Pelodiscus sinensis: one gene and its partner. The protein of the gene in region 2 interacts with the protein of the main gene of each other region in a pairwise test. Links are inferred from orthologs where the notes say so. Each region holds a gene or a part of one and is shown on either strand. Other genes may lie near its edges.

The links.
Region 1: the proteins of TRIM69 (region 2) and SF3A3 interact in binary tests that used the Homo sapiens proteins (3 or more experiments, as listed by UniProt). The two-hybrid records come from large-scale screens. The link is inferred for Pelodiscus sinensis from reciprocal best matches to the Homo sapiens genes TRIM69 and SF3A3.

What each region holds. Positions count from the first base shown.
Region 1 is NC_134735.1:10,736,958-10,743,806, forward strand, and holds the start of SF3A3 (splicing factor 3A subunit 3), read right to left. Parts: upstream 3,003-6,849; 5' UTR 2,993-3,002; intron 2,953-2,992; 5' UTR 2,929-2,952; coding exon 2,833-2,928; intron 2,396-2,832; coding exon 2,348-2,395; intron 1,165-2,347; coding exon 1,112-1,164; intron 1-1,111. UniProt on the Homo sapiens protein: Component of the 17S U2 SnRNP complex of the spliceosome, a large ribonucleoprotein complex that removes introns from transcribed pre-mRNAs.
Region 2 is NC_134724.1:36,833,799-36,841,051, forward strand, and holds the start of TRIM69 (E3 ubiquitin-protein ligase TRIM69), read left to right. Parts: upstream 1-4,231; 5' UTR 4,232-6,747; intron 6,748-7,253. Other genes in the region: B2M (beta-2-microglobulin), read left to right, coding at 1-269, 2,431-2,444.

The sequences.
Region 1 (6,849 bases), on a different chromosome or scaffold from region 2:
CACCCCTTCTTGTCCCTTATTCTACTGAAGAAGCAACACACAGCAAGTTAAATGGGATTTGCAGGAATCTTTAACCGTGTATAGGTCTTAGTATGAACCAGAAGGGAAACACTGCAATTGGCACATTCAGTTGTTTTTGTTGGTTCCCCCCTCTTAAAGGTCATTACACCTACAAATGGGAGTGCAGATAACTCAGCCCTAACTGCATCTTATTTGATGGACCATTTCAGTCGTGATTTTTTCTCCAACATGATATTTTAGAAGGGCTAGATTTATGGCAGATTTATTCTTTCCCTCCCCTTCCTACTCCCACACACTTTGGATCAAACAGTACTTTGCTGGCAAATCTTATGTCAGTGACAGCTTTGCAACGACATGTTGCTCTATGGCACTGATGAAGTTATGTCAAGACGCCTACTAATAATGTCTGGTCAGGGATTTGTTTCCAGCATTAGACTTTTACTCTCATGTTAAAAACTGGCAAGTGCAATAAAACTTCTGCAAGAAAACTTAAATTTGCTTTGGAGAAAGGTGGGGGGGGGGGATTTTTTTTTTTTTTAAACAAGTGCCATAGCTCTAAATTAAACAAAAAACAGGACTATGTAGCACTTTAAAGACTAGCAAGATGGTTTATTAGGTGATGAGCTTTCGTGGGCCAGACCCACTTCCTCAGATCAAATAGTGGAAGAAAATTTTCCTAAATTTTCTTCCACTATTTGATTTGAGGAAGTGGGTCTGGCCCACAAAAGCTGCTCACCTAATAAACCATCTTGCTAGTCTTTAAAGTGCTACATAGTCCTGTTTTTTGTTTCAGCTAGACCAGACTAACAGGGCTACATTTCTATCATCATAGCTCTAAATGCATCGCTCTCTTTATATGTGACCTAAAGAAGTGCCAGTAAGACTCTCCTGTAGCTCTGAAAGCACTAAAGGGACATCTACACTGAAATTAAAAACCAGCAATTGGCCTGTGTCAACTGACTTGGGTATGCAGGGCTTGGGCTAAGGGGCTGTTAAAGTGCTTGCAGACATACTCTGTGTGAAGGTGTTTAGCTAGCAGATCTTTCAGCTTTTAAAAAAGCCCGTTCACATCTTTTTTGCAGACACTTACCCATCCTTATCATCATACAGGTCTCTCAGATTGCCACTCACTTCCATATATCTCTAAAAAACAAAAAAACATGTTACAGTTATGCATATACTTTTGCTGCACTTCAGCACAACATGCAGAGTTAGGAAAAATAAGCTGCTTTCTTGGAAGCTTGCAAAAGCTTGCTTACATTTGAAATAACAATCCCACAAACTTGAGCTAAACAGACAAAGAAATGAAAGGCTGCTCAGTGAAAGGTAATGAAACATTATAGGGAAATTTAGCAGCTGAAAGTATTTTCAGGGAAATACAATATCTCGCTACCCAAGTCATTTCATGATCTTCTGTGGAGTTTTGCTGTTTAATAAATTAGCTGCAATGAAAATAATACAGCTGATTTAAAATATAGCTAAATGTTTTTAATGCTAAAACTGATGAGTTAGGGTGCAGGATGGAATTACTTATGTTCCATGTGCCCAGGTTCTGGTAAAAGGTAATGCAGATGCATCAAGCATTGTGCAAAATAAATCCTATAACTTCAGTATCAAGTATCTCTGCAGAATAAATATTGGTATAAATATGAAAACACTTTAAAAATTTGCAGATAGAACCAAATCTAGGCAAACTCAGCTCATGAACTTTATGGTAAGCAAAACTCCAGTAAATACTGTTATCAGCTTGCATATGTCTATCAGTTACTATGCCGCACACAAAACCATTTTTTTTTAACCTTGCACCCTGCAATCTTAATGTGTTATACCAGCAATTCTCAAACTGTGGGCCAGGACCCCAAAGTGGGTTCCAACCCTATTTTAATGGGATTGCAAGGACTCGCTTAGACTCACTGGGGCCCAGGGCCAAAGCTCAAACCCCACTGCCCGAAGCTAAAGCCAAAGACCAAGAATTTCAGCTCAGGTGGCAGGGCTCAAGTTACAGGCCCCATGCCTGGGACAAAAGCTCTTGGCTTCGGGCTTTGCCTCAACATCATGGCGGTGGGGTTTTGGCCCCACTCCCACCTGGGATGGTGCGGCTTGGACAGGCTCAGGTTTTGGTCTCTCTCCTAGGGTGGTATAGTATCTTCTGCTGTCAGAAAGAGGTTGCAGAGCAATGAAGTTTGAGAACCCCTGTGCTACACACATCCAGAAATACAGTTTGCGATGTATCGCTTAAGTAACTCACTACACCGAAACAGCCTGTGCTCCAGCCCATAATCTTTAGGGAACAAGGCGCGAGGGAAAGAGAAGAGGCGATACTCACGTCCTGCATCGCTCGGGTGCGATGATCAGAGTTAATCTGGTCCCGTAACTATAAGACAGATCAGAAAAAAAAGATTAGCCACGCTTTCCCCAACTCCAAATCTGGGAAAGTTCAGCAAAGAACAGTCTTCATCTGCCCCAGTCAGCTAGGGGTATGCGAGGAGTCGCTCACTGGGACAAAGGCTGCTGGTGGGTCATTGGCATCGCACTGCACTTGCACCGCGCTCTGACGGGAGGCGGCTTCACTGAGGTGGGGGAATTATGAGGGGGGCCACCCCTGGGACAGAGACGGGTGAACGGGGGCCCACGTCAGGGAGCCAGGGGCCCATGGGCCAGGAAGCTGCGCTGTGGGGGGCTGTCTGGTGCCCGGCTCGCCCCAGGACAGTCACTGCCCCGCACCCAGCCCTGCTGGGGGCCCCTCCGGGAGGGGAGGGCTGAGGCCGGCCCGACACGCGGGCGGAAGAGCAGGGCCCCTCCCCCCCGCACCGTGGATTTCTTAATCAGCATCTCCTTGGCCATCACGTCCATGAGCCGCTCCCGCTCCTCATGGTAGCGCCGCTGCTGCTCCAGGATCGTCTCCATCTTCCCCGCGCGCCAGCCGGAACCCTCCCTGCGGTGCGCCTCTGTCCCCGGCCCGACCGGAAACCCTCCCTCCGGTGCGCTCCCCTGTCACCAACCCGACCGGAAACCCTCCCTCCGGTGCTCCCCTGTCACCAACCCGACCGGAAACCCTCCCTCCGGTGCGCTCCCCTGTCACCAACCCGACCGGAAACCCTCCCTCCGGTGCGCTCCCCTGTCACCAACCCGACCGGAAACCCTCCCTCCGGTGCGCTTCTGTCCCCCGCCCGACCGGAAACCCTCCCTGCGGTGCTCCCCTGTCACCAACCCGACCGGAAACCCTCCCTCCGGTGCGCTCCCCTGTCACCAACCCGACCGGAAACCCTCCCTCCGGTGCGCTCCCCTGTCACCAACCCGACCGGAAACCCTCCCTCCGGTGCTCCCCTGTCACCAACCCGACCGGAAACCCTCCCTCCGGTGCGCTCCCCTGTCACCAACCCGACCGGAAACCCTCCCTCCGGTGCGCCTCTGTCCCCGGCCCGACCGGAAACCCTCCCTCCGGTGCGCCTCTGTCCCCGGCCCGACCGGAAACCCTCCCTCCGGTGCGCCTCTGTCCCCGGCCCGACCGGAAACCCTCCCTCGGGATGCGCCCCCCGTTGGACACTGACAGCAGAGTTCCGTGTGTTCCGTGTGCGTGTGTCCCTGCAGTGTGTGTGTGCATGTGCCCCCCGTGGGTGTGCATCCTTTGCATGTAGACACGTGTCCTATATGTCCTGTGTGCGCACATGCACGTGTAACGCCAAGAGGCAGAACCGAACCGGGGTCCTCTCTGCAGCTTAGTGCAAGAGCCTCTGTCCACAGCTTGAGCTAAAACCCAGTTGGCCTCAGATTCGGCTGTAGAACACGATCGCATAATTCTCTCTGTAAGCGGTCTCAGTGCCTTGTCGGACAGTGAACCCCCCCCCGTAGGTGTGGGGGGCTACATGTGCATATGCCTCTGTGTGTGTCCTTTGCATGGGTTGAATACCAGCTGTGTGTGCACGTATGTAAGTGCCACTAAGTGCCACCGAGCAGATTTAAATCTGGGACCTCTGGAGGTCACTATAAGAGTCTCTCACAGCTTGAGCTACGAAGCCAGCTGCCACTCAGCTTAGGCTGTAGAGCTCCCTTGTTCTTATCTCTGGCTGTAAGTGGTCTAAGTGCCACTACATAAGACAGTGAACCACATGAGATGGGTGGGTTACATACTTCCCCCCTAGCTGAGGAAGTGCATTCTGAGCTTGAGACCCAGTTGAAATTGCTGACAAGTGCCCACTGATAACCACCACGGGCCAGATTTGAACCTGAGCTCTTTGGAGTTTAGTATAGACCCTCTACAGCTTGAGCTATAAAGCCATCTACCACTTAGCTGTGGCTGTAGAGCTCCCTTGTTCTTATATCTAGCTGTAAGTGGTCTAAATGCCACTACATGGGACAGTGAACTTCACGAGGTGTGTGGGTTACATTCAGTCTATGTGAGTGCCCTGTGCACCTTATGCGTGGGTGCACATATGCCTGTGATCATTGTGCACTGTGTGTGTGTGTGAGACAGCTGCCATTGTCACCACTGTTGACAGCACAGGCCTAGCCCAGCCCCTTACTCCAAGCTGGAACCCCCTACCTACAAGTAGCATTGCCTGCTCTTCTAATTTCTTTGTGCATGTGCTGATAGTTGCAGGGTCAGTAAAACATTGTGTACATAGCCATCTCTGTCCTTGAAAATAAAGACGCTTCTAGCCCTCACCACTTCGCAGACAACATAACCTGAGCCTGGCCTGCAGGCTTAGAAATCAGAAAATAAATAAATATGTCCGCCCTTCACACACACCGAGTGTTTGCTTTAAATCTCATGATGTTTCAGCCAATCTCATGATTATTTGGCTCTGGCCCTTGACTCATGACTTTTGAGCACTTGGAGTTCACGGTGCAGTAAAAGGGAGGGGCTGTGGGCACAGCATTTGGGGTGCTCTGGCCTTCTTCCTCTCCTCTCTAGATCTGACCTGTGAAGAACAGCACAAAGAAAGCCTTTGAGTGCACTGCAAAGCCCGCTGCCTGATCAACAAGCATTGATGGAAAGCCCAAAGTGCCATTTTCATGGGTCGATAGTGCACATGAGGCGAGGGGGTATTAATTACATGACTGTTCTATGGATGACAATTCAGGCATGGGATAGGTCAGATAAGGCCTTGAAAGTAAAGACAGGTAGTTTGCACTTAATGCAGTGAAAGAAAGGTAAATGAGGGGAGGCTGAACAGAGGTACAAGACAGCACAGCGAGCCAGGAAAATGATCTATGCCAGAGGTAGCACATTGTAGGTGCACTGCCCGCTATGCCCCCACCAACATTTTAATTGCTAAATGGGGTGCCCCCATATGCCTCCTACCCATCAGAGTGGCCCTCATACCCCCTTCCCCCACAGGCACTAATTGCCCCTGATCTTTGCAGCAGCATTGAATGAAAACTTGACTAATGTCACCGAAAACCCTTCCGGTTCTACTCCTCAATACTAAGCACTGCTTTCCTGGCTGCAGAAGCAGGAAGTTGCCTGTTTGCCATGGAGACATAACTAGTAGGGCAGACCCACGCTCTGGTCTCTCCCAGCCCATTCACGGGAAGGTGAGCGTTGTAAGCTCTTGAGCTGTGGGAGCCCCGGGACAAAACAAGGGCTGGCTTGTGGCTTGTGTCCAGCAGATGGCAGGCTTTCGCTTTTCTGGAGAGCAGCTTGTGCACTCTCTCTCCCCTGAAGGTGGAACTAGCTGCTGCTCTCATCAGATGCGGTTTGGTTCTCTTGGCGTGATGGCAGCATTGGCCCCCTGTATCTGATTTAGAGCTGGTGCCTGCACAGCTCAGACCCGTGAACGGCTTTACATTCCCCCCTCTCCCGTGAGGAAGCGTGGGATCATTAGCCACCTCACACAGCTGGGGAGGTGAAGGCAGGGCAGTGACTTTGCCAAGGGCCACACGAGAAGTCTGTGGCGGAGCTGGGAGGTCAGGCCTGTGCCTTATTTGCAGCATTAGGCTCTGCCTCCCAGAAGTCACCGGTCTGATTCTTTTCCATAGCAGTGACCACTTGGTAGGTGCTGCTGTGGGGCTATCGGGCCCTGGAACTGGAGAATCTCTCACAGGAATCCTCTTCTGCATGGTGATACCCGAGATGGAGGCTTTTGCTCCCAGAAACTGCATTGTCAGTGCCCTAGCAAGACATCAATCCCATCTGGTCATTGCCCTGGGGCACCCAGACTCTACCCACCTCCTAGCCAGCTTAGTGGGATGAGCTCATCCTACGGCATGGGTAGAGGCCCGGTAGCAAGGGGGGGTTAGAAGGGGGGTTGACCTGCCAAGTGTCCCATTGGCGAGAAAACTGTGAATTTCTGCCAGGAAAAGCCCTGAATTCCAAAGAAAACGTCTTTTGTTTTGGCTGCTCAGAGCCGCTGCCCTCAAACCTTCAATTTGTTGTTCCCCTTCATTTATGGCCAGGCTTTCCCCTTCAACCATTCCCGTGGTGCAGCTGGGAGCTAACCACCATGGCGTAGTGACTCATCTGGGGCCCTCGGTGTTACGGAGCGCCAAAGGTGCCGCATCGCTGGGAGGGCCTGGCCTGGTGACCGAGCAGGCGAGTACCAGTCAGAGCCGACCTAGAACGAAGTGTGTGGCCCTCTGCCGCTGTCTCAGACATGGAAAAGCGTTACCTTGTGACAGACACATGTCAGATTCTCCTGACGTGCAGCGGGGTGGGGGGGAGTGGAGCCCCTGAATCATTTTATGGGGCCACTTGGCACCTTACCTTAAATTTTGCTCAACTCTTTGCAGTCACTTGGAAACCTCTATGTAAGGAGAACTAGCCAGGCTCAGTTTGAAACATGCCCTGGGGTGGGGGAGGGAGAAGAGGTGGGAACAGCTCTGCCT
Region 2 (7,253 bases):
AGTCCATGTGTACTCCCGCCACCCAGCCGAGAATGGCAAGTCAAATGTCCTGAACTGCTACGTGGAAGGATTCCACCCTCCCAACATTCACATCAAGCTGCTGAAGAATGACAAGGAGATGGATGGAGTGGAAATGTCCGACCTTTCCTTCAATGACGACTGGACTTTCCAGCGCTTGGTGCATGTCCCATTCACTCCTAATGGGAATGATAGATATGAATGCCATGTGGAGCATTCCGCTCTTCAGACTCCTAAGAAAGTCAGATGGGGTGAGTATTTCACTGTATCTATTTTGTTCACATCCTCTGTCAGGAATTGCACATGGGATTTGGATTCTCTTGCTCCTGAGATCCTGCAGCCAAACTGTCCTGTTCATTGTATGGTTTAGGTGGGTTGGGCTTTAGGGAGCCCTTCAGGGTCCAGGGCAGCCAAGTCATGCTTCTTCACGGCAACGGGAAGTGGCAGTAACCTTCTCTGCTCCCCAAGCTGCAGGGCTGGGAGCTAGGCTGAAGGAGCACACTGGAGCGGGCTGGGGCCAGGTCACTCTGCTTCCTGCCACTGGCTTGAGTGCTGGGGGAGCGGGTGACCCCTGCTGCTGGTGCTAGCCCCTCTCTTCTCCCCCCCCCCACCATCTGGCTATCACCCCAAGCTCTCTCGCCTGAGTAAGGGGTGCAGTGGGTGGGGGCAGGACCTGCATGGGAAAAGGTGGGGCCTGGGTGGAGGGGGTGGCAGTCCCAGTGACCACACACCCCTAGGGATAGTCCAGTCCTACACTTGTCAGAGAAAGCAGGTAGTCTGTTTAGTCACAAATCTGGTGTATCCTAGGGTTGTTGGAGATCGTGCAATTGAACAGCCGTGTAACTGCATGAAATCTTAGGGGTTACACAACTATTGATGGTTGCTGGGGGTGGGGCTGGCAGCCAGTGTGCTTGTCATCTGGCGGCTGCTCCTTCTGTATCAGAAAACAGCACAAGGTGGCAGGTGAGACTGCTGAGCCAGCAGTTATGGAGAGCCTGCTTGAAAGCTGGCTCCCTGGGCGAATGGCTCCAGCCTGCTTACCTCACCCTCAGTACTGCTACCTCTCAATCAGAGGCAACTGCGCGGAGGGGAGGGGCAGGCAGGAGAGTCCAGTGGTTGTGTGGCGCTTTATTGAAACCAGCTCCCTGAGGGCACTGGCTCCTGCCTCCCCCGTCCCCCGGGTACAGGGAAGGGGTGAATGTAGTTGACAGTGCTTATCGGTTAATCGTATAGTCAACTACACATTGACATCCCTAGTGTCCCCCTCCCCCGTCGTTTTAAAATGTAATGTAATAGGGTGCGTTCCCCAAGTCTCGTCTCTGGGCACCTTTGGCCACCGGGCTCCAGTGGAACAGTCTCTAACTGCTAAAGAGAATGTGTACATTTAATACAATATATTGGAACATCAAGTAGCAGTGGAGGAAATGAGAGTAACTTGTAGAATTATTGGAGGTGCTGCTGCCAGGTCTGTAGAGGTACAGTAGTGCCGCTGTAGGGTTTCCCATGTAGGCGCTGTCCTGCTAACAAAACTAAACGACCCACGGTGAGCAGCATTAGCTATGTGAGCAACAGAGCCTCTCCTGTCTGTGATGGGTCGAATCACAAAAGTCCCCTTGAGTCTGCCGCCCAATATGCTGATCATACCACTGAGCCTGCCTACCTGCCCTCTATGGGACCCCAAGCCCCTGTATGGCTTTACCAGAAGCTTTGGTCTCCCCAAGCCAAGGCACAGAGTTGGGGTAACAGTCCCTGTGGAGAGCAGTATAGTCACTGAACCAGCTCACCTATAGCACTTTGGCAGCATCCAGGAGCACAGCACTCAGATGGTACTTAAACCCCCAAATAAATCTGCTTACTCTGTAGAAGCTTTACACAAGGAGCCTTATCAGTGAATGAGATGCATATCTCTGGCTCCCCCCTCCTCTGACAAGTTTACACTGGGCTTGATGATAAACACTTTTTTTACCAAGTATAAAAAGTAGGAATTAAGTGGTTGCAAGTGAAAACAGACAGATCAAAATATGTCACTAAGCTAAAATAAGCAGAACATGCCAGCTAACCCTAATACACAAAGAGGTCATTGCAGATCATAATTTTCACCCTCTTTATCTCAGATGCAATTCTTCACAAGCCAGAGTTGGTCTTTTGCTGGCTTGGGTCTAACAGCCACTTCTGTATCCTCCTGGGTAGGAAGGCAGTTTCAAAGGCCAGCTGAAGACCATTGATTGCTACCTTTTCCTTACTTTCCTGGTGTGGGAATCCTTTCTTTCTTTATTTCTCCGTCTGGCTGCTGGAGTGATAAGACCTCTCCCAGCGCTGCATTAGAATAGTTATGATTGGTAGGAGTGCTATTTGTGCAGCACAGCCTTGTCTTAGAAGTGGACTCTTAACATCCTTTGTCCTCTCTTGCAGACCCTGATAATTAACCTGCATCTTAGACGTATATGGTAAGTTTTGCATATTTAATTTGTTGCTCTCCAACTGATTTTGGCACTGGACTGATACGTGAGCTGAAGTTCAGGGATAGAAAGAAAACTTGCGCCACACTGAGGCAGAAAGGTAGAGAGGAGGAACAGGCAGCTCTATCTGTAGCTTAAGTGGTAGTTTAGAATTGTGGGTGGCCTATTATTCCATTTCTTAGCACTTGTAACAATATCATGCCCTTATGGAGACTTTTCATAAAGCTTATGACTTCACTTGACCCTTGGGAAGAAGGGTTCATTGTACAGTCACCAGACTGCCTGGTGTTTTTTCTTGGTGGATGTGGAGAGGTGGATTTGCCATTTGGCAGTCTTTATGGTCTAGCTGTGCCTCCTGAGAGGCTGGCTAATAGTGTATTAGGGTTAGAGGGACAGAAGTCACTGTAAGGCATCCTTTGTGTGTCTGCAGGCAGTCTCTTGCCTGGCAGTGCTGAAGCAACTTAGTGTTAGTAAATGGCTACAAATGGCTTTATGTGCAGCACCAGCAAATGCAGTGCACCCAGTGAGCAGGTAAGGGGTGAAGCTTCCGTTGTGGTGCTTGAACTATTTCAAAAGCTTTGGCATAGAATAGAATAACCCTTTGCAGGTGCAGCTGCCCTTGGGATCTAAAGCCTAGAGCTGCTGGGATTTGCACTGGTTTGCGGCTGGGATCTTGGAGCCAGGTTCTCCCTTAGCTTATGTTACAATAAAGAATAGGCATTTTTTAAATTAATAATCTTCCCTGCCCCTCCTCCTTTTCAGGTCTGAGGAACTCTGCCTTGCAATATGAAAAGCGCTTACACCCGATCTGTTTTCCTGCGTGCTCTTCACACCCCACTCTCACTTTGTACTGGAGCTGAATGTTTTAGCTTTATGATGATTTGTCTGGGAGTGAGATGTGGAGTTAAAAACTTTAGTGTGAAATGTTAGATGTGGGTCTGAAGCTCAGACTCATGAGCTGGCCTTGCACCCACATTCTCAGTGCTTTCTGCTGGGGGGAGGGGGGAAGGGGAGGGAACCTTTGTGTTATCTGATGGACATGCTATAGAATCATAGTATTTACACATATAAACCAATCTTGTGTTGGGCAGTCTGGCAGCTGTGCTGCAGCCACTTTAAACTGGCAGTTATAAAGGAAATTGTAAATGTGGCTCAGCCTTAAGCAAGATCCATGGGTCTTGTAATCCGCCCATGGTGTGCTCATGATATTAATCAAGAATTTGAATTGCAAAATTGGAAGATTTTTGTCTTTCCTGTAGCGTCAGAATATAAGAGCCCTAACAAGGTCCCTGGAGGCAGCAACAGTCCTAGCCAGTTATGGAGTATTGAGGTCTACCAGGGTCTGGGTGCAGCATGTTGCCAGAGGCATTTGGGGGGGCAATAATGACACTTTCAAGAACTCTTGGCTACAGCATTCCTTTTTACAAATGCCAATCAATAAAACTATTGCCAGTTGCATACACTGATTTATTGCGTTAAGTCTAAATTTTGTGGACAACCTAGTCCTAGATGGATCTGTTCTGCTAATTGAAGAGTGTAACGCTTTGTATGGTTCTTAATTGTATATAATGATACTTTAATGATACTTAAATATATTTTAAAACAATCAATCCTGTGGAAGTTGTGGTTTCTGAAAATGGAGAGGGCATTTCTTGCCTCACATTGAGTACAGCAGGGGGTGTGGAGTATCTATTAATGGCCTTGCTGTAAGCGGGACTGCTCAAATCTGTTTCCCCTTGCTGGTAAAGGTAAAAGTAGGCAGTTTTGTTCCTAATCCATATACTCAGTGAGTTCTGAGACTTCCCTTCAAGTCCTGTGTAGCTCTGCTCAAAGTACAAATCCTTTGCTTTTCCCTCTGAACCAACTGTGTTTGAAGGCAAATGCTCTGTTTGACCGATGAACCACACTGAATGAAGTGATAGACAAGAATGGTCTCTGAAGTCAGTGTGTGTGAAGTGGAATTCCTGGGGGGTGAATGGAAATGCCATCTGAAGGTTGGGCTTAAAAAAAAAAAACATTGACTTTATGCCCTGAGGAGGGGGTACCATTGTCCCTGGATTATCTGACCCTGAAGGCTGGACCTCAGACCCAAGCTGTGCAAAACAGGGTGATCTGGGTTAAGGTTCATAATAGCCTCAGCTGGGAGGGACTGCAACTGAAGCCTTGTGGGGGGTGGGGGGACACAGCAAGGTAGGGTGGATCTCCAGTTTTCCTACCATACATGTAGGTTCTTTTATTTGTTCTGTAGTGCTCATACCTTAAGACTAAATGTGCTTGCTTAGAATGTGCTGTGGTAACTTCACTGGACATGTAACTACTTGATCACCTGAGGAGAGCGCAAGCACCAGCACCAACTTTTTTGAAATAGTCTGTCTTGCTGAGGAAGGAACTGTGCAGCCTGGAAAACCCCTTCTTGGGAGGGGAAGAATTGCTTGTAGACTTTTCTGGCACTTTGAGCCTTGCTGGGTGAAGAACACAACTCCTTTAGCATTTAATTAAAAAAGAATCTGAAATGACAAGCTTCCATGCATAAGCTTACATTAAGGTCTGTACTGATTTGGTCTTTCAAAATAGCAAAATATTTAAACAGCTGGGAAAAATGAAACTAGATGGGTGAAGTTCAGTTTCTCTAAGTTTCATTCAAGTTTCACAAAACTGCCTCTTGCTTGAAGAGATCCTGCTCCTTTGCAAGTTACCTGCCAACTTAGGTGTTCTCACAAGTGTACTTGTGCTGTAGAAAGGCAGGATGATCCAAGGTTCCTTTCACCTGAAATTGACAGAGCAGTTGGCAGCAAAAACTTGACTGGAATCCACTTCTGAATTGTTCTCTGGAGTTCAGGTATGTCAAGAAACAAGCTGAAAGGAATGGTGCACAAACAGAAGTTCTAGCTCCACCAGAACTCTTGGCTTGAAGGGGAAATCACTGGGTGAACTGTACCTGTTATGATTATGGAAGTGTCTTAAAGAGCAAGTGTCCAATATAGAACTACTTGGAGGCCAGGTTGGAGCCCAGGATTCATAGGCAACTTCTTATCTTTCTTCCCCCCCCCCCCCCCCCCCCCCAAGGTTCTGTGCTGAAATACAGGGTTTGCTCAGAGGTTCTCTAATTACACAGCTTTAACCGCAGGCTGTGTAATACCTCCTTTTCTAAAAACACAGGAATCAAGACAAGCTGGCATATTCTAGTTGCCTTGGAATTTATCTGTAGTTTAAAACACAAGGGTATCAAATTATTCATCCTTGCTATTTTAGGCAGTTGGAAAAGTAGAACAGAATGAGAGTAATAACTTGCTTTACTAGACAGTTTCCAATCCCTTTCCTGCATTGTTACTCATGAGTGGAAGGTGGCACTGTGTGGGTAGCAAAAACGAGGGAGCTACTAGGTCTTTACTAAAACTCTATGCTTTGGAAGGTGAAACAAAAAATCCACTGCATTGTTATTAATTATGTACTGGAAGTTCACCTTTAACCTTTATTATGCAAGTAGTAAGTATCATTACATTATTACCACTGCCTGACTCTATTGCTACAACCTACCTATTCTCCCTAGGTTCCTGTGACCTCATGGACTTGCACCAAGCAGCTAATGTTTGCACAGCACGCTTGGGGTATGTTTGTACTGCAGTGTTATTTCAGAATAGTGGATGTTCTAAAATAAAGCGCATCTACACAGCAAGCTGTTACTTGGACATAATGTCAAGCTGGAGGAGTTTTTACTCCAACACTTGTAACCCTCATCTCATGAGGAGTAAGGGATGTTGAAGGGAGAGTGTTCTTTGACTTCTTGTTGTGTAGAGCATGCTGAAATCCAAATGAAGCTGTTTCCACTTCAGCTATGGGATTGATGTAGCTGAAGTTGCGTAGCTTAATTTGACTTTTGCCCTGCTGTGTAGACATGCCCTAAGATTGTATCTACCCATTTGCTTTCTCCACTGACTAGCAGAGCTCCCAGGAGGAGTCCCAGATTCAGCAAAATTCTCCTTCTTTGACCTTTCCTCCGACCCTCCTGTCCTTGAGGGCTGCTGCCCCATAGGGCTTGACTCCCCTCCAGCACTGCAAAGGGACCCTTTCGCACAAGGTCGCAGTGGGTGGTCAGCTTTGGTCTGGCCTGCAGGTGTGTGCCCTCGGCTACATTTGAGTGCCATTGTGACCTGGTGTATGGGGGCAGTGGTCCAGAGCTGTAACCTGCGTGGTAGCTAGGCCGGGTCACAATGTCCAGGGTGGAGAGCTGAGCCTGCCAACTCCTTGGGCTAGGAGTTGCTGCTGTGGGGTGAGTATGGGGCTAGCTTCCTTGTCAGTTTCCCTCTGCCAGGGAGATAGGACCCATCCCAGGCTAACCACATGAAGTGTTGGGCAGTGTGGGCTAGTGCTGAGAGTTGTTGCCTCTGGGCTACAGAAACCTAAGCAATTGGAACGCTTTCATCCAGGACAGCTCTGCTGGGCAAGGGGCCATCCTGGGAAAACCTGGCTGGGGGAACCCTCCTCTTGCTGGTCCTGTTCTCTAGAACCTTTCCCTGCGGGGAGAGAGCTAAGTAACTGTCATTCTACTGCCCCCCCCCCCCCCCCCCCCCAACTAACTGACCTCCTCTGAGAAACCTCCCCTGTACTCCAGGCCCCTCTCTGCACACCACCGGTCTGCTTTGGAATCACACCCGGACAGCACCTGCCTCTGGCTGCCACCCTCTTGCAGCATCTGGGGAACAACCTGCCCCGTGTTGCACTTACCCACATGTAAAACCCTCCCTGTGCCGTTTCCTGGGGCGGCGCTCGCTACGG